Linked DNA regions of Anolis sagrei. The protein of the gene in region 2 interacts with the protein of the main gene of each other region in a biochemical or structural test. Links are inferred from orthologs where the notes say so. Each region holds a gene or a part of one and is shown on either strand. Other genes may lie near its edges. The genes, in order: RB1, CCND1, CDKN1C and CDK6.

Evidence for each region.
Region 1: of the proteins of CCND1 (region 2) and RB1, one has a biochemical effect on the other in vitro, tested with the Homo sapiens proteins (15 studies listed by BioGRID, with this or other methods). The link is inferred for Anolis sagrei from reciprocal best matches to the Homo sapiens genes CCND1 and RB1.
Region 3: the proteins of CCND1 (region 2) and CDKN1C form a complex in vitro, tested with the Homo sapiens proteins (2 studies listed by BioGRID). The link is inferred for Anolis sagrei from reciprocal best matches to the Homo sapiens genes CCND1 and CDKN1C.
Region 4: the proteins of CCND1 (region 2) and CDK6 form a complex in vitro, tested with the Homo sapiens proteins (3 studies listed by BioGRID and IntAct, with this or other methods). The link is inferred for Anolis sagrei from reciprocal best matches to the Homo sapiens genes CCND1 and CDK6.

What each region holds. Positions count from the first base shown.
Region 1 is NC_090021.1:150,193,745-150,201,159, reverse strand, and holds the start of RB1 (retinoblastoma-associated protein), read right to left. Parts: upstream 3,014-7,415; 5' UTR 2,928-3,013; coding exon 2,872-2,927; intron 1-2,871. UniProt on the Homo sapiens protein: Tumor suppressor that is a key regulator of the G1/S transition of the cell cycle. The hypophosphorylated form binds transcription regulators of the E2F family, preventing transcription of E2F-responsive genes.
Region 2 is NC_090021.1:266,611,652-266,618,840, reverse strand, and holds the start of CCND1 (G1/S-specific cyclin-D1), read right to left. Parts: upstream 3,018-7,189; 5' UTR 2,639-3,017; coding exon 2,441-2,638; intron 805-2,440; coding exon 589-804; intron 1-588. UniProt on the Homo sapiens protein: Regulatory component of the cyclin D1-CDK4 (DC) complex that phosphorylates and inhibits members of the retinoblastoma (RB) protein family including RB1 and regulates the cell-cycle during G(1)/S transition.
Region 3 is NC_090021.1:246,025,243-246,032,646, forward strand, and holds the start of CDKN1C (cyclin-dependent kinase inhibitor 1C), read right to left. Parts: upstream 3,010-7,404; 5' UTR 2,939-3,009; coding exon 2,203-2,938; intron 1,605-2,202; coding exon 1,519-1,604; 3' UTR 1,514-1,518; intron 1-1,513. UniProt on the Homo sapiens protein: Potent tight-binding inhibitor of several G1 cyclin/CDK complexes (cyclin E-CDK2, cyclin D2-CDK4, and cyclin A-CDK2) and, to lesser extent, of the mitotic cyclin B-CDC2. Negative regulator of cell proliferation.
Region 4 is NC_090026.1:102,371,145-102,378,387, reverse strand, and holds the start of CDK6 (cyclin-dependent kinase 6), read right to left. Parts: upstream 3,006-7,243; 5' UTR 2,168-3,005; intron 1-2,167. UniProt on the Homo sapiens protein: Serine/threonine-protein kinase involved in the control of the cell cycle and differentiation; promotes G1/S transition. Phosphorylates pRB/RB1 and NPM1.

The DNA.
Region 1 (7,415 bases), about 120 Mb from region 2:
ATGTTGCAATTGGCCACTTTGATTAGCACTGAATGGCTTTGCAGCTTCAAAGCCTGGCTGCTTCCTGCCTGGGGGGAATCCTTTGTTGAATGGTGTCAACTGGCTTTTTATTTTTATTTACTGTCCTCACTCAGCAACACTCAGAAAACAGGAATTCGAGGCATGAAACAATCCAGGCCAGCTAGCATCTCCCAACAAAGGAGTCCCCCAGGTAGGAAGGAGCCAGGCTTTGAAGCTGCAATGCCATTCAATGCTAATCAAGGTGGCCAATTGCAACATTCACACTTGCCTCAAACAGACAATGGTTCTTTCTCCCACCCTGGGCATTCCACAGATATATAAACCTTACTTGCCTAGTTTCTAACAGATCTCACAACCTCTGAGGATGCCTGTCCTACATGTGGGGAAAACATCAGGAGAGAATGCTTCTGGAACATGGGCATACAGCCCGGAAAACTCACAGAAATTCCAGGCATGAAAGTGCTGGACAGCGCAATACAGCTTTGTTGCAGCAGGACTAGCAATAACAAAATCTTAGAAGGGATAAAAAGAGTTCACTGTTAAAGATTGGAGAGAGAAAGTACTAGAGTATGTCCAAATGGCCAAGTGAACTAGTAGTAATAAAGGAGAGGAAATAGGAAGAATCTATATAAATAAAAATGTAATGTTTGTTGGTGGGATTAACATAACTCAAAAACCACTGGACGAATTGCCGCCAATTTGGACACAAGACACCTACTAACCCATGGAGTGATCATCACTAAAAAAATGATTTGCCATTGGTGAGTTGTAGTTGCCAAGATTTATAGTTCAACTACAATCAAAGAGCATTCTGAACCCCACCAACGATGGAATTGAAGCAAACGTGGCACACAGAACTCCCATGACCAACAGAAAACACTAGAAGAGTTTGGTGGGCATTGACCTTGAGTTTGGGAGTTGTAGTTCACCTACATCCAGAGAGCACTGTGGACTCAAACAATGATGGATCTGGACCAAACTTGGCACAAATATTCCATATGCCCAAATATGAACACAGATGGAGTTTGGGGGAAACAGACCTTGACATTTGGGAGTTGTAGTTACTGGGATTTATAGTTCACCTACAATCACAGAGCATTCTGAACCACACAAACGACAGAATTGGGCCAAACTTCCCACACAGAACTCCCATGACCAACAGAAAATACTTAAAGCCATCCAGTCCAACTCCCTTCACTAGAGCAAGAAAACGTAATCAAAGCCCTCCTGACAAAGAGCCATCCAGCCCTAGATATAGCTAGATATATATGATTCACACAGAGAGAGATATAGTATCATAGAGTTGAAAAGGATCCCTAAAAAATGACATGTTGCATGTTCCAGAGTAAGCAAACCAGACAATCTTTACATCAACACTGACAAAGAAACTGCAATAAATACTGTTTACCCACAAACATAAAGGAATTACATATATTAGAATCCAACACTTTCTCATTACTTTATTTTCCAGATCAACTGACTGGGCCACAGCAACACGTGGCAGGGGACAGCTAGTCTATATAAATAAAAATGTAATGTTCGTTTGTGGGATTAACAGAACTCAAAAACCACTGGACGAATTGACACCAAATTTGGACACGAGACACCTAACAACTCAATGTATGTCCTTCACTCGAAAAAAATGATTTTGTCATTTGGGAGTTGTAGTTGCTGGAATTTATAGTTCACCTACAATCAAAGAGCATTCTGAACCCCACCAACAATGGAATTGAACCAAACTTGACACACAGTTCTCCCATGACCAACAGAAAATACTGGAAGGGTTTGGTGGGCAGTGTCCTTTGGTTTTGGAGTTGTAGTTCACCTACATCCAGAGATTGCTGTGGACTTAAACAATGATGGATATGGTTCAAACTCTACACGAATACTCAATATGCCCAAATATGAACACTGGTGGAGTTTGGAGAAAATAGAATCTTGACATTTGGGAGTTGTAATTGCTGGGATTGATAGTTCACCTACAATCACAGAGCATTCAGAACCGCACCAACGACAGAATTGGGACAAACTTCCCACACAGAACCCCCATATTATTAAGGCCATCCAGTCCAACTCCCTTCACCAGGGCAAGAAAACGTAATCAAACGTAATCATGACAAAGAGCCATCCAGCCTTAGATATAGATAGATATATATGATTCACACAGAGTATCACACATATAGTATCATAGAGTTGAAGAGGACCCCTAAAGAAGGACAATTTGCATGTTGCACGTTCCAGACAATCTCCACATCAACATTGACAAAGAAACACTGTTTACTCACAAGCATAAAAATTACATATATTAGAATCCAACACTTTCTCATTACTTTGTTTTCCAGATCACCAGACTGGGCCACAGCAACGCCTGGCAGGGGACGGCTAGTTTGTAAATAAACGGAGGCTGGCATTTGGAAAGGAAGACAAAGTTGATTTGAAAGTAGCCACAAAGGGAACTTCTTAAGACAAGATGGCAATGGCAGCGACTGTCAAAAGGGGAACTTCAGATCTGGATCTTTTCCAACAACAGCAGCAGCAGAGCAACAACTTTTGAAACTTTTCCTGTCATTGTAACACAGGCATGGTCCAACTCCGGCCCTCCTGGTGTTTTGGACTTCAACTCCCACAATTCCTAACAGCCGCTAGCGGCTGTTAGGAATTGTGGGAGTTGAAGTCCAAAACACCAGGAGGGCCAGAGTTGGCCCATGCCTGTTGTAAGGTCTTTGAGGAGAAGACCCCTTCCCCTCCTACTTGGGCTTCCCTTGGGATGAACAAAAGCCCAGTGGGGTGGCAGCCGCTCTCCTTCTATGGGGGAAAAGGCCAAAAGAGAGGGGGACGGAGGGCACTGACCTGGCTGTGGCCGCGGGCTCCGGCTCCGCCTTCCTCGGGGGCCTCGTGGGCGCCATCTTGGGCGCCTCCAAGCCCCTCAGCGGCGGCGCCCCCTCCCTCTCCTGCGCGCGACAGCCAGCAGCCAACCGGCAGCAGGCCTCGCGAACCGCGGGAAAGGGCCTCGCGCCCGCCGCAGACGTCACTTCCTGCTCTGGAGGGCGCGCGGAGCTTCCCTTCACTGGTGGCCAAGAGAGGAGAGAAGCAGGTGCTGAAGGCGGGCTTGGTTTGGACTCTTCATAGTTCCCCCTTCCACCTGGACAGAAGTGTCAAGCTGCATATCCTATCACTATAAGCAAACCTTGTTTTGTTTTTGTTTTTTGCCCTCCCATTTTCTCACGGTGTTCCCAATGGCAAGGGTATTGTCCAATTCCATTACGTTTTCAAGGGCAGCCCCATGTAGAGCGCATTACAGTAGTCCAATCTGGAGGTGACTAAGGCATGGACCACCCTGGCCAGATCCGCCTTCCCGAGGTACGGTCACAGTTGGCGCACAAGTCTTAATTGTGCAAAGGCCCAGTGTATCTATCCGAACGGATCTCCCTCTACGTCCCACCCCAGAGTCTAAGATCTTCTGGGGAGGCCCTGCTCTCGACCCCGCCTCTATCACAAGTGAGATTGGCAGGGACGAGGAGCAGGGCCTTCTCGGTGGTGGCCCCCCACCTTTGGAATTCACTCCCCAGGGAAATTAGATCTGCAACACCGCTCCTTTACTTTAGGAAAAAACTGAAAACATGGATTTGGGACCAGGCATTCGGATAATCGGGCAGATAAAAGGACTTGACAATGATTAGGAAATGATTAATGGAATAGAATTATGGAACTCTGAAAGACGAAGCGCTGAGCATGAGAATAGTTTTTTTTATAGTTTTTATATATGACATGTTATGTACTGATTGTTTTTATTGTTTTTAACTGCAATAATTGTTTTAGCCATGGTTTTGTATATTATGTGTAATTTGTATAGGCATCACATTGTGCCTTCTTTGTAACCCTGAGTCCCTCCTTGGGGGTTGAGAAGGGCGGGGTAAAAGTAACCTAAATAAATAAATAATAAATAAAGGCCCTCCCGGCCACCGCCGACGCCTGAGCTTCAAGCATAAGTGATGAGTCCAGGAGGACACCCAAACTGTGGACCTGTGACTTCAGGGGGAGTGTAACCCCGTCCAGCACAGGTTGCCACCCTATACCCCAATCTGGTTTACAATCTACCAGGAGGACCTCTGTCTTGTCGGGATTAATCTTCAGCTTGTTCTTCCTCATCCTGGATTCACAGCTGACAATGGAAGCTCAGGTCGCTGCTGCCAGCAAACAGGCCTTTTTCCATCTACGACAAGCGAGGCAACTGGCACCCTACCTATCTGACGAGGCACTGGCAACTGTCATCCATGCCACGGTAACGTCTAGGCTGGACTATTGCAACGCCCTGTATGTGGGCCTTCTGATGTCTACGACCCGAAAGCTTCGTATTGTTCAGAATGCGGCAGCCAGGTTACTCACAAGAACGCCCATGAAATGCCATATAACACCAGTGCTGCAACATTTACATTGGCTTCCAACTGAGTACCGTGGCCTGTATAAGATGTTAGTTCTGACCTTTAAAATTCTTTACGGCCAGGGTCCATCGTACCTTAGGGACCGCCTCTCCTCCCATCATCGGAGATCGCAACAACCAGCCCAACGTGACTTACTCCATATACTGGGTCCTAGAGAAGTGCACTTGGAAAGGATCAGATGCAGGGCTTTTTCTATTTCTGCCCCTGCCTTGTGGAATTCCTTGTTGCCCTACATGAGAGCCATGCGTGACTTAGGGCCTTTTACTCTCACACTTAAGACCTGACTTTTTACTAGAGCATTCGATGAGACTGCTGTCAGTTGGGCAACGAAACAAGACGGGAAACTTGGTGGTTCCCATCCCACCTGTTTTTCAGTTGTAAACTTGTTTGTAAAGTGTAATAAGAGGTGGGAACTCTGAACATGATTGAAGGCCCGTGTTCAGAGTTCCCTCCTTTCAAGACACTTGTACCTCTTTTCAACCACTGAGGACTATGCATGCCAGACTGCTGCAAAATTTATTCTTGAGACTAGTAACGTTTAAGTATGTTTTCCTTTTTATCTGTGACTTTTTGTTGTATGGGCCTGTGTTGTGATTTTGTTGTTGTATGCCAATAAAGGCTGTATGTGTGATTTTGCCATTGTATATCCTGATTTTGTTATCCAGTGGGGTCCTGGAACCAAATCCCAGTGGATACCGAGGGCCCGCTGTACTCCGTCTCACTGCTTCTTAAACTGGGTCCTGGCCTCAAATGGGATCCCACTAAAGACACAGGTTCACAGCTTGGGAGTGATCCTGAACTCGTCGCCGAGCCTGATTAGTTCTCAATACATGTTCAATTTTTATACCTATTTCATATACCCTACATACCTAGGGTCATGTCAAGCATTGTTGAAAAGGTTTAAGAAGCCCTGTACTGTCCTGTTTAGATGTCCCCTCCCATCTGCCAAAGGAAGAACATTCCCTATTATCCAGAGAAATATCTTTCTCATCTTGGTATCTAACAAACCTGCCAGATACTTTGGAAATTACAATCACGGAGGAATGAAAGAAGCATAAAAAGTAGTAGATTCATAAATCTGAATGGTGGAAATCCCATTGCTATCTCCTTGAGCTTCTGTAGTCGGATTAGTTTAGCTCTATCATATCTTAGACCCATAGAATCGTAAGAGTTGGAAGAGACTGCAAGGGCCATCTCGTCCAACCTCATTCTGCCATGCAGGAACACACAAAGCAGTCTCAGCAGATGGGCTTTCTTTCAGCCTCTATTTAGAATTATAGTATCATAGAGTTGGAAGAGACTGCATGGGCCATCTAGTCAAACTCTGTGCCATGCAGGAAAAGCACAATCAAATCAGCCCAGACATATGTACCCATTGCTCTGGCCCGGCCCAGTTTTATTGTTTCCGGGTGCACTGTTTATTGCTTGTTGTTTAATATTGCTTCAACTGTTTTTAATTTGCTTTAGGTTGTGTATTGTTATGTTGTGTTTGAGGCCTTGACCTTTGTAAGCCGCATCGATGCTAGCGGGGTACAAATAAAGATAATAATAATAATAATAATAATAATATGGCCTCCACAGAAGGATTCCCCCAGGCAGGAAGCAGCCAGGCTATGAAGCTGCAAGGCTATTTGGTGCTAATTAAGGTGACCAATTGCAACATTCACACTTGCCTCCAAAAGACAAGATTCATACTCGTAAATAATAGAGCTGGAAGAGACCTCATGGGCCATCCAGTCCAACCCTCTGCCAAGAAGCAGGAAAATTGCATTCAAAGCACCCCCGACAGACGGCCATCCAGCTTCTGTTACAAAACTTCCAAAGGAGCCCCCACCAGACTCCGAGGCGGAGAGTTCTACTGCTGAACAGCTCTTACAGTCAGGAAGTTCTTCCTAATGTTCAGGTGGAATCTCCTTTCCTGCAATTTGAGCCCATTCCTCCATTGAGTCCTAGTTTCCAGGGCAGCAGAAAACAAGCCTGCTCCCTCTTATGACATTCTTTCACATCTTTATACATGGCTACTAACTGCCCCCTGCCACACGTTGCTGTGGCCCAGTTTCTGTATATGTGCTTTGTGTGTATATAAGTGTGTTTGCATGTATGTGTGTGGTTTGCGCATGCGCTGTAGCATCTTTTTGGCTTTTTTAGTCCTTTCCGCTGTGTTTCACAGTGTTTTTATGAGTGATGGTCACTCGCTGGCCTGATAGGTATATTGTGTCCAAATTTGATGTCAATTCGTCCAGTGGTTTTTCAATTATATTAATCCCACAAACGAACATTACATTTTTATTTATATAGATTGTGTCTATTCTCAACCTTTACTTCGGCAGGCTAAACATCCCTGGCTCTTTAAGTCACTCTCATAGGGATTCATGGTTTCCAGACCTTTGATCCTTTCAGTCGCCCTCCTCTGAACACCTTCTAGCTTGTCAATATCCCTTTTGATGGAAACACAAACAATCCCACCAAAGCAGGTAATAGCTCTGTTTTTCATCCATGGACCTGAGCCCAGGTTCTCCAATACAAACAAAATGTATTCTGAAATCTGCTACAAATACTTTTTAAAAATGTATCAGTGGAAGTGGTATCATGGGAATATTCAGTCATGATGGTGAAAGAGATACAGAATCCAACAGGTACATGACCTTATTTTTTATTTAAAATTGTATTATTTGCTTCAACTAATAGCCATATGACATATTTTATAACATCTAATCTCAATTCTAATCTAAAATATTATTAAGGTTAAAATTCAGTAGTCCTATGTTAAGCATCCTAGAGAAATTCGCCATGTAAAAGAAAATGTGAAAAGAAAATGGACAAACTTTTAGACAAACAGGTTTGTAATATTTATTTTCCATTGCACATACATAGCTTATATACATCTCAATAACACAAAGTTACTGCTCAATTTTGTTACAGCAGACACCTATATTAGAACAGCCGTTTGGA
Region 2 (7,189 bases):
GTGAAATGTCAGGAGAGAATGCTTCTGGAATGTGGCCATACAGCCTGGAAAACTCACAGCAACCCAATAACAATAATAAATATCCTATTGAAGGGATTAGGAATTGCTTCTGAAAAATGTGTATATGGGACTGCCTCCCAACTTGGAATTGGTGAGCTTTAAGACTCTTGTACTCAACCTCTGATCATATAGGTTGTTTCTGAGTTTTCCGGGCTGTATAGCCATATTACAGAAGCATTCAGAAGCAAACACGGCCATACAGCCCAGAAAACTCACAGCAACCCAGTGATTCCGACCATGAAAGCCTTCAAAAACTCACTCTCTCTCTCTCTCTCTCTCTATATATATATATTCATTCAATTATATGCTTCCCATATATGCCCATTTGCACACGCTGGAGTAAAGTTTGTAAAGGTAATGGTGGAAAGAATTCAAAGTGAGCAAACCGCATGAAGTTTTCAGTCCTAAACATTAGAGGAAGGGAATCTGTCTAGGAGATCTGAAATTGAAGAATTGATCAGCCTGGTTTCTTTATCAGTGTGGCTTGAGGGTTTTTAGTTTTCTGAAGAGACAAAAGTACGAAATTACCAGTAATTCGCTGGGTCTAATGGAGTTATCAGTGTAAATACACAGTTTTTCTGCAGTGAGAGGAATGGTTTCCTTCATTTTGGAGGCAACGAACATACAGGTAGCTCCCAGCAGTTGCAAGTGGCTTTTCTTAAGGGGTTCGAAAGAGAGATATCGGTCCAAATAATTCATAGCTAAGGGGAATACTTCTTCTTCGCACTTCTGCTCCTCACAAACCTGAAGGGAAAATAGGGGAAAAAAACAAAACAAAAAAACGGGGAAGGGAAAAACAAGAAACAAATCCTTACTTTTTTGAACCAACTTTTTCTTCCACACAAGAATGGTGAAGAAAATCCAATGAAATGAATTTCCCACTTTTATAAAAACCAAATGAACCAAGTCAATAAATGTGTTGAGAGTGTAAGGAGAGAAAAGAACTGAAAGAGAAAGTCGCAAGGGAAGTTGGAAAAACGTGGTCGGGGACTGAGGAGGCGAAATAAAAAGGCGAACAGGCTTTTGAAAAGCCCGAAATTAAGAAGCGACCCCCCAAAGTAGTTAGAAGTAGGTCTGCTTGGAGATATTTTTTGGGGGGTGTATAGCTGAGGTGCCCCCTATTGGCTCCCATTGGCTTGGGTGCTGCCTCCCCCCCTCCTCGCTCGAGACACAAAGGTGGCGTCGAAGAGGCAGCTGCACGCTTTTTCCCCAGACGTCATCTTTTCAAAAAATATTTAAAAATGTTTAAAAAATCACCAGCGCTTCCAAAAGTAGCTGAAAACAAACCCCGGGCGATTCTTTACCGATCCCTCATGAGAAGAATCACGGGGGATCCTCTGGTGGGACACCCCGAAGTCAAACTCCAGCACCCCCCATTCCTCTCCAAGCTCTCTCTTCTTGAGAAGCAACGTGCGACATTTGCCACCCGGGGGGCTTTCAAAAATTAATTAAAAATACTTCCCGGGCGCGGATTTTTTCGGGAAAGGGCTGAAAATGTAGCCCAAAGCCGGCTGCTTCTGATGGGACCCCTTTGAAGCGCCTCCTCCAAAGGGGGACCCCGATTTGCACTTGTTTTTGTACTGGGCGACCTTGCCGACAAGTCTCTGCAGGAGAAAGCAAGCACGTCTTCCGGGCGGGGGTGGGGAGGGGGGGAGGAGAGGAAGACCAGGGGTTTTCTCTCTCTCTGTGCGAACAAAGAAAAGTTTCTCCCCAAAGTTTGCAAGCCCAAAGCCCAGGGACCCCCCCCCCCCACCCTCAAGGGAAGTTTCTCGCCTCCTAATGATTAATAAACCCTTGCAATAAAAGAACAAAGATGGCGCAGAATACTGGCACGGGGAGCACTTGCATACGTGTCCATGGATATTAAATCTAAAATCAAAATCCCCCCCTGGGAGGCCCGGGGAGGCTCGAGGGAAAGGCCAGAAGGGAAGGCAGGAGCCGGGGCGCCTGGGCGAGGAAGCAGCCCACGCTTCGCTCCCAGGACCCTGCCTTTCGGGCTCATTCAAAAGTTCGCCTCCAAAGGTGACAGCGAGAGAAAGGAGGCCTGGCTTCGGGTGCAGGAAACGCCGGGGAAAGAGAGGAAAGGGAGGCAGGGAGAAAGCAGCCCAGGAGGAAAGGCTATCTTCGGGTGGAGGAAATGCCGGAGAGAGGAAAGAGAGGCAGGCAGAGGAAGCCCAGGCTTGCAATCCCCTTTCTCTCTCTCTCTTTCCAAGCAGAGGTTCTGCAGGGCTGGTCTGACTATTACTAAGTTAGTCTTGCAATCCCCTTTCTCTCTCTCTCTCTCTCCAAGCAAGGGTGGTTTGACTATTGCCAAGGAAGCCCAAGCTTGCCATTCCTTTCCTCCTTCTCTCTCGCTCTCTCTCTCGGAATGGTTACCAACCTCCAGCATCCAAGTGGCCACGATTTTCCTCATATATGGTAAGATCTCCTTCTGGACGCACTTGAAGTAGGAGACGGAGGGCGAGCAGGTCTCCTCGGCCTTGAGCATGGCCTGCAGGACCCGGTCGTTGAGGAGGTTGGCATCTTGGTAGGCTCTCCGGATGGTCTCCACTTCGCAGCAGAGCAGCTGGTGATCCATGCCGACGCCTCGCCTCTCTCTCTTTCTCTCTCTCTCCCCGCGTGCTTCCTCTCTTCCTTATGCTGTTCTTGCGAGGCTTTGTTTCTTTTCTCTCCGGAGGGAGTCTTGTTTCCAGGCTGCTCTTCTTCTCCTTCTTCTCCTTCCCTGGTTGCTCGGATGCTGCTGGCTGGGCTGACTCTCCTGCAGCAGCAGCAGCAGCAACGACTCCTCCTGCTTCGCTTCGCTGGTGCTACCGCTTGCTGCTGCTCCAGCCCTCTGGAGGCTGCGGGGAAACTTTCCAAACTTCCACCCTGCCGCCTGAGCCCCCTCTTGTGACGTGACTGTTGTTAAGCGGAGATCAAAGAATGCGAAGGAAGGAGAGAGCGAGCGAGGAAGGAGGGAGGGAGGGAGAGAGGGAGGGAGGGAGAGGAGCCAAAAGCAAGGGGCAGAGCCCTAAAGCCATCCCATCGCCTCCAAGGCCTTCCCCTTCGCCGCAGTTCAAGCAGGAGGAGGAGGAGAAGCAGCAGCAGCAGCAGCAAGGCGCTTACCCCCCCCTTCTCTCTCTCTCTCTTTTGCATACCCATGCAAATGAGCACTAAAGATCCCCCCCTCTCTTTTTTTTCCCGGGGAGGGGGAAAAAGAAGCAAATTGTCTTTCCAGTGCATTAGGCAGGATATGTTTAATAATAATGATGGTGATGATGGTGATAATAATGCGGGCTTTATGCAGCTGGTGCAGAATACAATGGGGGAAGTAGGCCACGGCCACACACAGGCAAACTTGAGGCCTGGGCAAACTTGGGCCCTCCCAAGTGTTTGGGGGTGCAACTCCTACCCTTCTTCACAGCTTCAGGCCCCTTCCTCTCCCCCCCCCCCACTTCATCCAGTTTAAGCTGTATAGCCATGTTCCAAAAGCATAGAAACATCACTTACTTGTGACTTCATCACATTGAAAAAAAATCCCCCTTAAATCCGGTTTGTGCCTCCTGCTTTGGAGTGCAACTCCCACCATTCCTCACAGCCTCAGGCCCGGAGACCTGGACCAACTTGGAGTACAACTCTCACCATTCCTCACAGCTTTACCCCCCCCCCCCCCCAATCATCCAGCTTAAACTGTAAAGCCATATTCCAAAAGCATAGAAACCTCACTTATGACTTCATCACACTAGAGAAAAAATCCACTTTAAATCCGGTTTGTACCTCCTGTTTTGGAGTGCAACTCCCACCATTCCGCACAGCCTCATGCCCCTTCCTCCCCACACAAGTCAGCTTAAGCTATATGGCCATGTTCCAAAAGCATAGAAACCTCACTTATGACCTCATCACATTACAGAAAAAAATCCACTTTAAATCCAGTTTCTGCCTCCTGCAGAATTCTCCTTGTAGTTTAGTGACACTGTTAAAGGCTCCTTCCTAAACTACAAACCCCAGAATTCTGCAGGAAGCAGAAACCGGATTTAATGTGGATTCTTTCTCTAGTGTGATGAGTCCCTTTGCTGTTGTAGGTTTTTTGGGCTGTATGTTCTAGAAGCATTCTCTCCTGACATTTTGCCTGCATCTATGGCAGGCAGCCTCAGAGGTTGTGAGGTATACCTGCCATAGAAGCAGGCGAAATGTCAGGAGAGAATGCTTCTAGAACATGGCGGTACAGCCTGAAAAACCTACAGCAACCCAGTGATTCTGGCCATGAAAGGCTTCGACAATACATTCTCCTGTTTAAGTTTCCAACACACCTCTCAACCTCTGAGGATGCCTGCCATAGATGCAGGCGAAACGTCAGGAGGGAATGCTTCTGGAAAATGAGTGATACAGCCCGGAAAACACAGCAACCCAGTGATTGGCTCAAACTTTTCCCATAGGATATAGAGGTCCCTTCAAAGATTGGGGTTGAAATCTGGACACTTTGGGGGGGGGGGGGTCCAGCTGCCAGTTTTGGACCTACCACGTGGCTGCAGAATGCCAGCCAGATCTTTGGGATCAGGGGGGTTGATTTCCCCCCTTTCCATCTAAAAACACACTTGGAAACCAGGTTTACTTCTTCCAAGATGGGGAACAAAGGCAGCATTGAGAGAGAGGGAGCAGAGCTGGAAGTTGCAGCGTCTCTTTAAAGCAGGCCTGGGCCAACTTGGGCCCTCCAGGTGTTTTGGAGTGCAACTCCCACCATTCCCAGAGCCTCAGGCCCCTTCCTTTTCCCCCTCAGCTTAGAAGGAGAAACGTGGTGGGGCTTCAACGCCACGTGGTAGGTCCAAAACTGGCAGCTGGAGCCCCCAAAATGTAGATTTCAGCCCCAAATCTTTGAATGGGCCCCTACATCATATGGGGAAAGGATCAGCCATTCATTTCCGCAGGGCGACCTGTTTGTTGGAGTTGAATCTCTGGCAGGAATTAAAGGCGCAGAGAGGGATTAAAGAAAGTTGAGTTGTTGTGAGTTTTCCGGGCTGCATGACCACGTTCCAGAAGCATTCTCTCCTGGCGTTTCGCCTGCATCTGTGATGCAGGCGAAACGCCAGGAGAGAATGCTTCTGGAACATGGCCATGCAGCCCGGAAAACTCACAGCAACCCAGTGTTTCCGGCCTTGAAAGCCGACAATACATTAAGGAAAGTTGCATTCTACTTCAAGGAGTCCCGCAATGGGTCTCGGAAGGGGCAGGGCGGCCTTCCTTTGTGCCTTGACTTCAGGAGACACATTCCCCAAGCCGCGTGGCTCAAGGGAAGGAAGTCAATGGGGGCGAGAGAGGTGGAACTCGGAAGTCTGCCCCGTCCGGCTTCCGGGGATCTTCTCTTTCCCCCGGTTGGTGGGTCTGGCCCGTTTCACCCACAAGCCCGGGCTTCCTGGGCGACTGGCTCCCTCGCGCTGCCTTGCCTCCAGGGAGGGCGCCTTCCTTGGGCTGGAGCCGAGCCTCGCTCGAGGCAACTCCCCGCAAATTCCAGGCACGCCTTGGGATGCAAACTTCCCAGGATGATACGTGTTGTCCAAGGCTTTCCTGGCCGGAATCGCTGGGCTTGCTGTGCGATTTCCGGGGTGTCTGGCTATGTTTCAGAATCATTCTCTCCTGACGTTTCGCCCACATCTATGGCAGGCATCCTCAGAGGTTGTGAGGTCTGTTGGAAACTAGGCAAGTGGGGTTTATATATCTGCGGAATGTCCAGGGTGGGAGAAAAAACTCTTGTCTGCTCGAGGCAACTATGAATGTTGCAATTGACCACCTTAATTGGCATTAAATGGCCTTGCAGCTTCAAAGCCCGGCTGCTTCCTGAATGGGGAAGCCTTTTTTGGGAGAAGTTAGCCAGTCTTTGAAGCTGCAAAGCCATTCAATGCTAATCAAGTGAGGTTTATATATGTGGGAGAAAGAACTCTTGTCTGCTTGAGGCAAGTGTGAATGCTGTAGTTGGCCACCTTGATTAGCATCAAATGGCCTTGCAGCTTCGAAGCCCGGCTGCCTCCTGCCTGGGGAAGCCTTTGTTGGGAGGAGTTAGCCAGTCTTCGAAGCTTCAATGCTAATCAAGTGAGGCTAATATCTTTGAAAGGTCCAGGGTGGGAGAAAGAACTCCTGTCTGCTGGAGGCAAGTGTGAATATTGATTAGCATTGAATGGCCTTGCAGCTTCAAAGCCTGTCTGACACCTCCCAACAAAGGATTGCCCCAGACAGGAAGCAGCCAGGCTTTGATCCTGCAAGGGTATTCAATGCTAATCAAGGTGGCTAACTGCAACATTCACACTTGTCTCAAGCAGACAAGAGTTCTTTTTTCCACCCTGGACCTTCCAGGTATATAAACCTCACTTGATTCGCGCTGAATGGCCTTGCAGCTTCAAAGCCTGGCTGCTTCCTGCCTGCGGGGAACCTTTGTTGGGAGGGGTTAACCAGTCTTTGAAGTTGCGAGGCCATTCAATGCTAATCAAGGTGGCCAACTGCAGCATTCACACTTGCCTCAAGCAGACAAGAGTTCTTTCTTCCACCGTGGACGTTCCAGATATCTAAACCTCACTTGATTAGCATTGAATGGCCTTGCAGCTTCAAAGACTGGCTAACCCCTCCCAGCATTCCACGGATAGATTAACCCCCAATTGATTGCCCATTTTCCTAGTTTCCAACAGACCTCCCAACTTCAGGGGATGCCTGCCATAGAGGTGGGCGAAACGTCAGGAGAGAATGCTTCTGGAAAGCATCGCCCGAAAAGGCACAGCAATGCAATTCAAGGACCTGGTTTTGGCATAAGAATCACCCGGACTTCCCCAATTTGGGGGTTCTTCTATTCTGATCCCGGGGGAGGATTGTGCCCATGCCTCTCCTCTCGCTTGCCCTGGCGCTCCTGCAATGGGGATGTCTTAATTGGGGGCTCTTTTGGGGGGGGGGGAATATAAAGCTCGCTCAATGGGCAGCTCCTCCCTCCCCCCTCTCCTTGCTCCCAAACAATATTTGCTTTGTCGGAGTGGGTTCCCCCTTTGCGAGGGAAGGGAAGAGAAGGGGACGCCAGGAGGAGGAGGAGGAGGCAAGGGAGAGCAGGGTGGTTTCTCCATTCATAAAAACCCGCGCCGGTGTGTGGCAGCAGCCCTTGATTTATGAGGCGGCG
Region 3 (7,404 bases), about 21 Mb from region 2:
TTAGGAAGGTGGTGGAGAAAAAGCAACAGAAAGCTCAGAATTACATAGAAGCATCACAAGGCACTGCCTCGCTTTTCCTAAAGTGCATCTACGCCAGTCATGGGAAAACTTTGGCCCTGCAGGTGTTTTGGACTCCAACTCCCACCATTCCTAACAGCCTCAGGCCCATTCCTTTTTCCCCCTCAGCCGCTTAAGTGGGCCTGAGGCTGTAAGGAATTGTGGGAGTTGAAGTCCAAAACACCTGGAGGGCCAACTTTGCCCATGCCCTGCTTTAACTGTCATGACTCAAAGATATGGAATCATGGGAGTTGTAATTTGGTAAAGTGCTAACATTCTTTGGCAGGGAAGGCTTTTCAAAAGATTCCATAGCATCAAGTTAAATGGTGGCAAATGGCATTAATTCCACAATACTGAGGCATCCCTGGATAAGTCAAAGAATGCATCTGTATTGTAGAATTAATGCAGAAGGCACAATGGATAAGTCAACTGCAGCTAGGGCATCATCAGAGCAGGATGGGTCTTTTATCCACATGACAGGGACCTCAGGCTAGTTCTACACTGCCAAATAATGCCATGTGAACTGCATTGTATGGCACGTGTAGAACCAAATACACCTCAAACTACATTGTATATATACACATTGCCCTATACTGAAGTTCAAACTGGATTATTTGGCAGTATGGAACCAGTCCATGGTTGGTTTATTTACTTTATTGTGATGTTATTTTGTTGTATATATTTTATGCTGCCGTAATGTATCGCTGGCCTTGTCCTCATGTAAGCTGTTCTCGAGTCCCCTTTGGGGAGATGGTGGTGGAGTAAAAATAAAGTTTATTATTGTTGTTGTTGTTGTTGTTATTTAGGTCCAAGGTGGGCAGGAGGTTGAAGATTGGGCAAAAAGTATATGTGAGTTTCTGTTTGGCAACTCCTAACCAGTGCCTTAAGGGCAAAGGCTCCAAGGACCTCATCACACTAGAAAATGAATCCACTTTAAATCCAGTTTCTGCCTCTTGCAGATTTCTGAGATTTGCAGTTCAAGGCTCCTCCCTAAACTACAAACCCCAGAATTCTGCAAGAGGCAGCAACCGGATTTAAAGTGGATTCATTCTCCAGTGTGAAGAAGTAGCCAAGCAGCCCTGCCCCACCCTCTCCGGGCATCCTTTAAATCTTCCAGAAAGCCACAAATACCCTAAAAGTCTTCGATTTGGCAGAAACACATGCCCGAAACTCTCTGCCTGGCATTAATGCACACCTCTGAAGCTCTTATGGCCTTGTAGGCACAAACACGTCTTTCCCCATCCAAACACAATGAAGACCCTCCCCTCAGCCTTTATTCCTACTCCAAGGGGTCTTCGTGTTGTCGAAGGCTTTCATGCCCGGAATCACTGGCTTGCTGTGAGTTTTCCGGGCTGTATAACTCTGGGACATGGCCATACAGTCCGGAAAACTCACAGCAACTCAAAGGGGCCTTCCTTTTGAGCTGGCAATGGGATTAAATCAAGCCCTTCCTCACCTCGCTCATCGGAGCCTTTTCCGGGGCGTCTGCTCCAAGGCCAACGCGCTGCTGGCGTCTGCGGCCACTCTTTTCCGCTTGGCGAAGAAATCTAAGAGAGAGAGAGAGAGAGAGAGAGAAGGACCAATGAGTGCGGGGCGTCTCCTCCCTCTTCCGACACCCCCCGGGGAAAAAACAGGCCCCCTCCCGAAAGGGACCCGCCCCGGGCGCCCCCGAGCTCCGCGGCAGACAAACACTCCCCGCGCCTCCGCCCCGCGACGCCTGCCCTCGCCTGCCCCTGGCGGTTCGAAAGGGAACTGCAACGGGACGGGTTTGTTTACGTCGCAGCAGCAAGAAAAAGGAAGGGAAGAAAAAAAAAGAAAGAAAGGCGTTGGGCGGCCGAGCGCGAAGTGCTGCGTAAGCGTTCCTTCCTTGCCCTGCAAGCCATCGACGACGGAGCAAGGAAAAGAAAACATAGTAGAAGGAGAGAGAAGGGGAAAGGGGGAAGAGACGCCTTCCTTCCCACTAAAAAGACCCTAAAGGCAGCAGCAGGAGGAGGATTGTTTTGTGTGCCCCCCCCCCCGCAGGACAAGTGCAGGCGCCCTTCCCTTCCTTTCTCCCGTCTCTCTTTCTCTCTCGCAATCCCTCCCTTCTTTCCCTTCCTTTCTCCGTCTCTCTCCTGCTTCCTCCTCTCCGCAGCGCTTTCGTACCGGTGATGTGGGCGACCCTCGTCCTCTTGGCCACCCCCGGGAGGGGCTTAAGGGGGATCCCTGAGTAGCAGCCGCTCTCCTGCTTCTCGGCGGCGGCGGCAGCGTCGTCGTCCGCTCCTTCGTGGCTCCGCGCGGCGAGCGGGGAAGGCGGCGGCTCGGTGCCTCCGTGGCTCTCGGGCTCCTCCTGCTCCTCCTGGGGCGCCTTGCCCTTGTGGCAGCGAAGGCGGCGGCGAAGGGAGCCCGCTCCGGGCAGCAGGGTCTCCCGGTAGAAGGCGGGCAGGGCGGCGGCGTCCACCTCCTCCCACTGGAAGCGCGCCTGGTCCCGCTGCCCAGCCGCGAGGGGCGCTCCGGCGTGGAAGTCGAACTCCCACCGGCGCTGGCTCTCCTGCCGGATCTGGCGCAGCTGGTCCCGGAGCTCGCGGTGGAGCTGCTCGTGGTCCACGGGACCGAAAAGGCTCCGGCACGCGCCCGTCCGCGCCTCCGAAGGGAAAGCGCGCCGCGCCGCCAGCCGCTCCAGGGCCCAGGCGCTAGCGGACAGGTCCACGCTCGACATCGCCGCCGCCGCCGAAGGGAACGAGGCGAAGCAGGAGGAGGAAGAGGCGCCGCGAATGCCTGGCCTGGCTCCCGAGCCCGAACGGATCGTCCACCCCGCTGCCTCTCTCGGGCCCTCCCGACTTCGCTCCGGGGCTGCTGCGCTTTTTAAAGCTCTACGCGGAGTGGCGCCCGAGCAAAACATCGATTAGCATAATACTATGGCTCGGCAATAACACGGCTGCCATTGGACGAGGCGGCGATCGACACGGGGCGACGTCCCGCCCTCGCGCGCGCGCCTCATTGGAAGGCACCTTCAGTGTGGCAGGGCGCCAAACGCGCCTCCCGCTTTCCCATTGGCCGGGGCTGCTTTCCGTCAAGGGACGCGCGAGGGGCGGAGGCGTGAGCGAGGGGAACTTGGGCATTTAAAGGGAGCGGGAGGGGGGGGAGTAACCTGACACCGCGCCCACGTCGCCCGCTCGGCTCCTTTGTTTGCAGGCGGCGGAGGGGGCTGCGCCTTGCCCCTCCCCTCCTTCTCCCCCCCCTCCTTTTATTAAAAAAAAGTGCCTGATGAGCCCTGCATTTCAATATTTGTCCCCTTTCTTACGCGCCGGGCGGGGAGGGGTTCTGTGTTTCGGGGGCTCGGGTCCTGCAACCTGAAACCCGGGCCCGGCCCCTCCCCGCCTCCAAAGTACAACCGCGAAAGAAGGGCTTTGTGAGCAAAACAAAGCTTGTTGTTGACGAGGGCGCTTCCAACCCGGGAGAGAGGGAACGGCGCGCGGGAAGGATTGATCCGAATTAGGTCCCCCTAGCTAGCAAGACAAAGGAGCCCTTGAGGATTGGGGTCGGGTTTGGGAACGGGGAAGAAATCCAGAAGAAGTCCGTCTCCTCCCCTGAAAAAGCAAGGCGATTTGGGCACCGCTTTCCCTGCCGTGCGCGGCTCAGTGCTATGCGACTCCCGGGAGTTGTAGCTTCACAAGGACTTGAGCCTTCTCGGCCAGACTGTGCTGGGGCCTCAACATACTATAACTTCACACGATTCCATAGCATTGAGCCGGGGCAGTGGAAGGAAGAAGCAAGCTCCCGCTGTGGCTGTGATTCTCCCATTTCCTTGGAATCAAATACTGGCCACATGACCTTGGAGATGAGCACCAACCCCCAAAGTCGGACAAGACTAGACTTAATGTCAAGGGGAAACCTTTACTTTACCCCAATCCCAGTTCAAGTTCAAGGACCCCCTGACATCTATCCACAAACCCACAAGTTTACCTTTTTTGGAAGTGTGAGTAGATCAATAGGTACCACTTCAACGGGAAGGTAATGGCACTCCATGCATTCATGCTGACCACATGACCTTGGAGGCTTCTACGAACAACAATGCCAGCTCTTCGGCTTAGCAATGGAGATCACCACCATCCCCCAGGGAGCCCCCAGTAGCACAGCGGGTTAAACTGCTAAGCTCTGAACTTGCTGACCGAAAGGCTGGCGGTTCTAATCTGGGCAACAGAGTGAACTCCAGCTTCTGCCAACCTAGCAGTTCAAAAACATGCAAATGTGAATAGGTACCACTCTGGCAGGAAGGTAACAGCGCTCCATTGCAGTCATGACCTTGTAGGTGTCTACGGACAGTGCCGGCTCTGGTAGACACAACTAGACTTAATGTCAAGGGGAAAACTTTTACCTTTACCTACTACCCTCCAGAGTTGGGCATGACTAGACTTAATGTTAAAGGGAAGCCTTTCCCTTTTTTACAAGTACTTCTGACCACTCTTTCTTTTTGCACATTTTGCACACAGTGTTTGTCAACTTGTCTTTTCTGCTCAAAAGCCTTGGGACCTGACAGGCGTGCATCTATTCAGTGGTGACTCCATAGCTCTCTTGTGCCTCATGCTCCTTTTTCTCAGTCCATGCCAGAACTTGGAAAAGTTCTTCCAGATGACAGGTCCCAGCATCTCAACAAGGATGGTCGATGGCACATAGAGGAACGGTCATTTGAAGAGTAACTTTCCCAAGGTCTTGAGTTCCATTCACCAGAAATCTCTCTAGTAGGGAAGGTTTTGAGCAGAGTTGTCTAGGCCAGCAGTTGCTAAACCTTTTCTGTTGTGGAACACTTCAGAAGACTTTTTCTCTCCACAGAACCTAACCCTATCTATCCCTAAGCACTGCGAACCCACAAAGTTCTTCCTTTTTTATCTACTCCTATTGTCTGGGTATTGTGTATAATGTAGTACACGCCTGGGCAAACTTTGACCAGGTATTTTGGACTTGAACTCTCACAATTCCTAACAGCTTCAGGCCCTTTCCTTTTAACCCTCAGCCACTTAAGCTGCTGAACTTGCTAACCGACTTAAGTAGCTGGGGGGGGGGGGGGAGGAAGGTGGCTGAGGCTGTTAGGAATTGTGGGAGTTCAAGTCCAAAATACCTGGAGGGTTAAAGTTTGCCCAGACCTGATGTAGGTTTGGAAATAAAGCGAAACATTTTAAATGTGACCACAAACCAACCCCAAAATCAGTGGCACAGATTCACATTTCATTTTTAAAGCCGAGGTACATTGCATTTCAATAAGATCTTCATACTCTTGCATGACTTTTGGAAAAGTTTGTTTTTTTAAGATTTGAAACATTTTTCACGGACTTCCCCTGAAGCTTTTTGTGGAGCCACAGTTTGGGAACCAGTGGATCTAGGCCTCTGTTACCATTCATAAACTCCATTACAGAAGCAATGCATAGTTGTGATGCCTACACCAGAAGGCACTTTTGATCCCCCAGGTCAGTGGTTGTCAACCCAGATATTTTGACCTCCAACTCCCAGAAATCCTAACAGCTGGTAAACTGGCTGAGATTTCTGGGAGTTGTAGGCCAAAACACCTCGGGACCCACAGGTTGACAACCACTGCTGCAGGTGCTTTGGACTAAGGTGAAGGTAAAGGTTTGCCCTTGACATTAAGTCAAGTCGTGTCTGACTCTAGGGAGTGGTGCTCATCTCCATTTCTAAGCCAAAGAGCCAGCATTGTGGCTGGCATGGCTGCATGGAGCACCTTTACATTCCCGCAGACGCGGTACCTATTGATCTACTCATATTTGCATGTTTTCGAACAGCTAGGTTGGCAGAAGCTGGGGCTAACAGCAGGTGCTCACCCTGCTCCCTGGATTCAAACCACCAATCTTTCGGTCAGCAAGTTCAGCAGCTCAGTGGTTTAACCTGCTGCACCATCAGGGGCTTTGGACAATAGCTCCCATAATCCTTGATCTTTGGCCATGCTTTCTGGGATTTATGGCAGTCGACATCCAAAGGTACCTGGAGACCAAAGCTTCCTCAGCCCAGATAGATGCTATTGTTTTGCCTTGTGTTTATTGCAGGAGAGTCTCTCTTATCAGATGCATCCAACAAAGCAGGTGTTTACCTCAGAGAGTTCACGCCACAATACATGTTTGTTAGTGTTTCAAACATCAGAGGACTTGGCTTAAATATCCTGTTTTTGAGAATGTGGTATAACTTTGTTTCTCCACTCGTACAACAGGAAAAGAACGAGAGCATGGTCTGTTCATGATAAACGTAGCCTGTCGGCAGTAAAAAAATAATAATAATCTCCACAAAAGAAGTAGGATTCACTTGGGGCAAGGAAAGGTAAGTGACTTGAGATGACCAACGATGATACAGTCCATCTGAATTATCCAGACTCTTAAATCAGCTGGAATTCAAGTAGTGTTTAGGGCGAATGTCATGACAGCATTGGCTCGTACTTTTTCCCTTCACTGAAATTCAACTTCCGTGAAGACCATATGGCTATTTGCAAGGTGGCCTGCAGGCCAGAAAGATGCTGTTCAGTGAACAGTTCATAAAAAGGCTATCATGGTTCATTGGCCCTGACAATGCACCTCATTAGGCAAGATGTAAACCTCTGTTGGAAGAGTTTGTGATGGGGCAGCAGAGAGGAGGAAGGTCAGTCATGCAGCCAGACCTTCAAGTGAAAACAGGTGATGAAATATTAATTCCCTTGATTTAACACCCTATCAGGTCTCGTCAGCAAAGGAGAGGACCAAAGCCAATCCAGTTCCAGAAAGTAAATGACCATGGAGCACCGTTATCCAATTGGACCTCTGCCAAAATACTGTAAAACTTCATTTCTTTGCAAGGTTTGTAATGATTAACCAATAAAATATGAGTCCCATAAACTAATCTTTGTTCCATTCATGGTTTACTTAGGCAATCTTTCCTATCCTCTAGATATGCTTCTTTGTATCCGGGAGCAGATAATACACTGCCCAAAGCAAGTGTGGCAGTTAAATAAACTATACTATTCATCAGTTATAGTCCACGTGAAACAACTTAATCGTACATTTCTATATAAAGGTTTGTACTGACATAGTAGGTACCAAAAATTGCATAAATGGAAGGCACAAGGGAAACAAAACTATTTCTGATATTGCTCCCATCAAATTGAATTATGTTTTTGGCCTGTTCTGTGCTGTATAGAAACTTTGCCTGATAGTGCTAATCTTAAAGAATTCACAAATGTTATGAAGGTAATGCAGTTTCCTTTCTCTTTTGGGCCACATCTATACAACTTAGGTTGGTATACAGGTGGCCAAAACATAGGGCTATTTCAGGGTAATGTGGGACAAGGCCACATTAATGCAGCCTTGTTTCACATTACCCAAAGTTGAAGGG
Region 4 (7,243 bases), on a different chromosome or scaffold from region 2:
GGTCTTAAATGGCGAGGGTCAAATTTGGGGGGCTTTAATACCCACTTTTGCATCCAACCACCCCTCCTCTATTTAGTCAATCATCCCAAGGCTCAGAGGAAGATCTGGAAGATAGGCAGTGGGGTGTTGGATGTAAAAGGGGGTAATAAAGCCTCCCAAACTCAACCCTAATCATTTGAGACCCCCTTTTGTCCATGAGAAGAAGGCTAGTGGGGTGGGAGGGTATAAAGGCAAATAATAGAGCCCCCCCAAAAGCCAACCTGCACTATTTAAAACCCTCCTCTATTTAGTCAATGATCCTGAGGCTCAGAGGAAGGTCTGAAAGGTGAGCAATGGGGTGTTTGGATGTAAAAGGGGGTAATAAAGCTCCCCAAACTCAACCCTCACCATTTAAGACCCCTTTTGATCATGAGAAGAATGTTAGTGGGGTGGTGGATCCAAAGGGGGATAATAAAGCACTTTGAAAGCCAACCTGCACTATTTAAGACGCTCCTCTATTTAGTCAATGATCCTGAGTCTCAGAGGAAGATCTCGGAGGTGGGCAATGGGTACTTGGATGTAAAGGGGGGGGGGTGATAAAGCCCCCTTCCAGACCTTCCTCTGAGCATCAGGGCTATTGACTAAATAGAGGAGGGTTGGTTGGATGTAAAAGGGGGCGATAAAGCCATTTAAGACCTCCTTTTGATCATGAGAAGGCTAGTGGGGTCAGTGGTTGTAAAGACCTCCTTAAGACCCCCTTTTGATCATGAGAGGAAGGCTCGTGGGGTGGGTGGGTGTACAGGGGGATAACAGAGCCCCCCAAAAGCCAACCCACACTATTTCAGACCCTCCTCTATTGAGTCAATGATCCTGAGGTTCAGAGGAAGGTCTGGAAGGTGGTCAATGAGGTGGTTGGATGTAAAAGGCGGTAATCAAGCCCCCCAAGCTCAACCTTCGCCATTTAAGCCCCCCTTTTGATAATGAGAGGAGTGTTCATGATAATAGAGCTCCCCAAAAGCCTCCCCCCTATTAAAAACCCTCCTCTATTTAGTCAATGATCCTGAAACTTTGAGGAAGGTCTGAAAGGTAGGCAATGGGGTGGTTGGATGCAAAGGGGGGGGGGGGGGTAATATAGCTTCCCAAACTCAACCCTTGCCATTTAAGACCCCCCCCCCCTTTGATCTGGAGAGGAATGTTAGCAGGATGAGTGGGTGTAAGGGGGGAGGAATGTTAGTGGGGTGGGTGGGTGTACAGAGCCCCCCAAAAGCCAACCCACACTATTTCAGACTCTCCTCTATTTAGTCAATGATCCTGAGGCTCAGAAGGAGGTCTGGAAGGTGGGCAATGGGGTGGTTGGGTGCAAAAGGCAGTAATAAAGCCCTCCAAGCTCAACCCTCACCATTTAAGACCCCCTTTTGGTAATGAGAAGACTGTTAAGAGATAATAGAGCCCCCCCCCCAAAAGCCAACCCCCACTATTAAAAACCCTCCTCTCTTTAGTCAATGATCCTGAGACTTTGAGGAAGGTCTGAAAGGTGGGCAAAGGGGTGGTTGGATGCAAAGGGGGGTAATAACCCCCCCCCCCAATCCAACCCTCACCATTTAAAACCCCTCTTCGATCATGAGAGGAAGCTAGTGGAATGGGTGGGTGTACAGGGGGATAATAAAGCCCCTCCAAAAGTCTGCCTGCACTATTTAAAACCCTCCTTAGATCCTGAGGTTCAGAGAAAGGTCTGAAAGGTGGGCAATGGGGTGGTTGGGTGCAAAGGGGGGGGGATAAAGCTCCCCAAACTCAACCCTCGCCGTTTAAGACCCCCTTTTCATCATGCGAGGAATGTTAGTGGGGTGGGTGGGTGTACAGGGAGAAAATAGAGCCCCCCAAAAGCCAACCCGCACTATTTAAGACCCTCTATTTAGTCAATGATCCTGGGGCTCAGAGGGAGGTCTGGAAGGTGGGCAATGGGGTGGTTGGGCGCAAAAGGGAGTAATAAAACCCCTCAAACTCAACCTTCGCCATTGAAGACCCCCTTTTGATCATGAGAGGAATGTTAGTGGGAGGGTGGGTGTAAAGGGGGATCATAGAGCCCTCCCGGAGCCAAGCCCGGCCACTCACTAGCCCTCCTCCCCATTGAAACCAAAGAGTCTATCAATCTGGATGAGCACATGGCACTTCAGGGCCGAGGAAGTACCTGGCGTGCGCTTCTGCTGGTGTTGGTGCGGGAGCTCCTCTCGGAGGGGTGCCTCGGTCTTCAGAGCCAAACGGGGGTCTTTGGAGAGAGCAATAAAAGGGACCCCCCCTCCTATACAATTAAAAGAGGAATAAGCAGGGGGTGGGAGGAAGGAAGGAAGGATGGATGGAAGGAAGGAAAGGACAGCTTGCTTCCTCTCTCTCTCTCTCTCTCTCTGGGAAGTCCTAAGATCTGGCTGCCCATCCAACGCAGATGGGTCAAGGGGAGGAGGAGGAGGAGGAGGAGGAGGAAGAGGAGGAGGAGGGAGGTTCACATGGTGCTGCTCCGGTTTGGGGCTCCCCGCAGACCCGGCCTGGGCCACACAGGTAGCCGCCAGCACCGGAGCGCCTCCTCCTCCTCAACCCGCATCTTCCTGGCAAACTCGGGAAGAGCAAAACGGCACCTTCTCCTTCTTCCTCCTTCTCCTTCTCTTCTTCATGCAAGGAGAGGATCTCGCAAACCTCCCTCCTCCTCCTCTTCCTCCTCCCTTAGAGAAAAAAAAAAGGGGGGGGGGGTTGTAATAACTCTGATCAAAGCCTTCACAAACTCTACCCACGGACACTCTTCCTGCCTGTGAAAAAAGTTCCCGTTCCTCTCTCTCTCTCTCTCTTTCTGTGGCTCAGTCTGGGAGCAGAAGAGTTTTCTTTTCTTTTTCTCTCCCCCCTCTCCAAACTCGCCTCCACTCACTCTCCCTCTCTCTCTCTCTTTTCCTCTCTCTCTTCCCTTTCTCCCCTTCTCCCCCTCGGTTTCCCACGCTGGCTGAATGTGACTTGACCCCGTTTCAAAAAAGTTTGACATAGTGCTTCAACATTTCCGCATTCCTCCCCGACTACAAAGGCAGCGGCCGCCTCCTTCTGCTTTCTGTCTCTGCTCTCTGTCTTCGCACTCAATGAAATCCTTCATGGGCCAAAAAAAAAGGCAAGGGGGGGGGGGCAGACCACCCCTCCCCTCTCCCCAAATACCGCCGGCAAGGAGGCAGGAGAGAGAGAGGGGGGCGATAGGGGGGGTGATTATGGGGGAGGGAGAGGGGAGACCCCAAGCTGGGAGGAGGAAGAGGAAGGAGGAGAGCACAGCTTCTGAAACTGCTGCTGCTGCCTCGTGGGCTTGTTTCCCAGGGTGTGCAAAAGTCCACATTTGTTACACAAGAGCAGGCCCGGGCCAACTTGGGCCCTCCAGGTGTTTGGGACTCCAACTCCCACCATTCAGACTGTGAGGAATGGTGGGAGTTGGAGCCCCAAACACCTGGAGGGTCCAAGTTGGCCCATGGCTGGTGTAGATGCACCCTACGCAATGCAACCCTGGGAGCTGCAGTTTGGTGAGGCGCCAACACTCTTTGGCACAGAAAGCTGAAGCCCTTGTAAAACTACAAGGCTGAGGGGGAAAAGGAAGGGGCCTGAGGCTGTGGGGAATGGTGGGAGTTGGAGTCCAAAACACCTGGAGGGCCCAAGTTGGCCCATGCCTGCTGTAGATGCACTCTCTGCAATGCAACCCTGGCTGCTGCAGTTTGTTGGGGAACTAATACGCTTTGGCACAGAAGGCTGAAGACCTTGTGAAACTACAAGGCTGAGGGGGAAAGGAAGGGGCCTGAGGCTGTGAGGAATGGTGGGAGTTGGAGTCCAAAACACCTGGAGAGCCCATTGGCCCCGGCCTTTTCCAGAGGGACTCTTCTTGTTATTATTATTCTTTTTTGGATGTTTGGACATACAGTATATATAAAGAACAAAAGTAATTTAAAGTAGGTAAAAGCTAAAAGTTTTCCCCTGACATTAAGTCCAATCGTGTTCAACTCTGGGGGTTGGTGCTTAACTCCATTTCTAAGCCAAAGAGCCAGCATTGTCCATAGACACTTCCAAGGTCATGTGGCTGGCATGACTGCATGGAGTACTGTTATCTTCCTGCCGGAGCGGTAACTATTTATCTACTCACATTTGCATGTTTTTGAACTTCTAGGTTGGCAGAGACTAGAGCTAGCAACAGGAGAATTGGCTGACTGCAAGGACATTGCCCAGGGGACACCCTGGATGTTTGGATGTTTTACCAGGTGATAGATGAATCTCATCCGCACTCTTCCCAGATTCAAACCTCCAACCTGTAGGTCTTAAGTCCTGCTGGCACAGGAGTTTAACCCACTGTGCCACCGGACCAAGGAGCAGTAATTTATAATATAAACAGGACCAAGGAGCCACAGTGGAACAGTGGGTTAAACCACTGAGCTGTTCAACTTGCAGGTCGCAGGATTGAATCCGGGGAGTGGCGTGAGCTCCAGCTGTTAGCCTCAACTTCTGCCAACCTAGCAGTTTGAAAACATGCACATGTAGGTAGATCAATAGGTACTACTCCGGTGGAAAGTTAACAATGCTCCATGCAGTCATGCTGGTCACATGACCTTGGAGGTGCTTACGGACAACGCCAGCTCTTCAGCTCAGAGATGGAAATGAGCACCAACCCCCAGAGTCAGATATGACAGGCCTTAGTGTCAGGGGAAAACCTTTACCTTACCTAAACAGGGACCAATGCAAGATACTCCACCAATTCGGCAGAAAAAAAGGCAAAGATACAGAATGGGGGACATCTGGCTCAACAGCAGTAGGTGTGAAAAATATCTTAGAGTCCTCCTGGACAACAAGTTAAACATGAGGCAACAAAGTCATGGGGCAGCTTAAAAATCCAATGGGATTTTGGCCTGCATCAATAGGAGCATTGTGTCTAGATAAGTGGTTCTCAACCTTCCTAATGCTGCGACCCCTTAATACAGTTCCTCATGTTCAGGTGACCACCAACCATAAAATTATTTTCATTGCTACTTCATAATTGTAATTTTGCTACTCTTGTAAATCGTCATGTAAATATCAGATATGCAGGATGTATTTTCATTCACTGGACCAAATTGGACACCAATACCCGATAAGCTCAAATTTGAATACTGGTGGGGGTGGGCGGGGGCATTGATTTTGTCATTTGGGAGTTGTAGTTGCTGGGATTTACAGTTCACCTACAATCAAAGAGCATTCTGAAGTCCAGCAATGATGGAATTGAACCAAACTTGACACACAGAACTCCAATGACCAACAGAAAGGGGTTTGGTGGGCATTGACCTTGAGTTCTGGAATGAGAGAGCGGAATATAAATAAAGTGTTGTTGTTGTTGTTGCTCTCCTCACATATTTTCTATTCCTACCTCACCCAGGGTTTTATCATTTTATCTCGTCCATTTGGCCTGCCCATCCTGTTTGATTTTATATTGTGTTAATTTGCTTTATTTGTTTTATTTTGCTACTTAACTATTTTTTGATGTAACTTTTTGTTCTCTGCATTCTGTGTTTTATTGTGGACTCAAACAATGATGGATCTGGACCAAACTTGGCATGAAGACTCGATGTGCCGAAATGTGAACATTGGTGGAGTTTGGGTTAAATAGACCTTGATATTTGGGAGTTGTCGTTACTGGGATTTATAGTTCACCTACAATCAAAGAGCATTCTGAACCCCACTTGACCCTCAGGTTGAGAAATGCTGCCTTAAGGCCAGCCAATCCAACACCCTTCACTAGGGCAAGAAAACGTAACCAAAGCTCTCCTGACAAAGAGCCATCCAGCCATAGATATAGATAGATATATATGATTCACACACACACACATATGTATATGACAGATATAGTATCATAGATTTGAAAGGGACCCCTAAAGAAGGACAATTATATTTTGCATGTTCCAAAGTAGGCAAATCAGACTATCTCTACATCAACACTGACAAAGAAACGACAAGAAATACTGTTTACACACAAGCATAAAGAAATTATATATATTAGAAACCAATACTTTCTCATTACTTTATTTTCCAGATCACCAGACTGGGCCACAGCAACGCCTGGTAGGGGACGGCTAGTAAATAATCATAAATGTAAACATGTACAGTGACCCCACTGTAAACTGTTCTACTAATGTACTTGTAAGTGAAATCAGAATGCAAAGGGCAGGCAGCAGTGCTCTCGGAAGTCCCCATGACTTAAATCCTGTTTAATAATAGCAGTTAAGAATCTTTTGGCCAACCTGCCAAACAAAAAGAGGTTCATTGTGAGCACAGGAAGGTGTGTTTTCCACATGTAAACCATTCCATCTGCATTCCTGTGACTATAGCTTCATCTTTCATCTCTGTGGCAATATACCTCTAACTCCATTAACGTCAGTCAACCTTCCCTTGGATGAAGATAACATATGCCTTGAGGATTTAGTATATATTAACCCATCCTATTTTTTTAAAAGTAAATGTTATTTATATTCAAAAAGGAATTTCACTTACATACAATAATGTTCCAATGTAACAAAAGCAGGAAAATAAAAACAGATAAGGAGGAAAATTAGCCGCATTAGCCACAAGTTTCTTTAAAACTGATCAAATGTCCATACATAAGTTATATTGTAATTTTTGTCTGTACAACATTATTTCAAATTTTGCAAGTGTTTTTAGAGCTGCTATCTATCAAATCACATTGGAAAAGGAAAAAACCTTCCAGTAGCAACATATTCATTTTTTAGCAGTCAAAGGGACACACAATACCTATTTCCACAGGCTATTTGTTATTTTCAAAGGAATAGGTAAATTATAAAAAAGAGTATAAAAGCAATGAATATCAAAAAACTTTTCAAAACTAAATGTACTTTAATGATCACGTTCTCCCAAAATGTAGCAACTATTGGCCAACTTCAAAACATATGCATTAAGGAAGCATTATTACAATTAAAATAGTTTTCTGATTTTTGAAAAGAGATTCTAACTGCACAAAAGACCAATTTTGCTGTATAAAACATTATTGGAGGTCTATAGCCATACTAGTTATAGATGCTAAAATTGATGGCCATTGATTAGTCAAAACAGAATATTTTTATTCTCTATTCCATCTTTGCTATAAATTTACATGTCAATTTATTTATTGATTGATAAGATATCCCCTCTGGGCAGCTAAACCAGGAAATCCCAAATGGATGACCCCCCCCCCCCCATGAGGGTATTTGGGCAAACCAAGAATGGGGTACTTGGA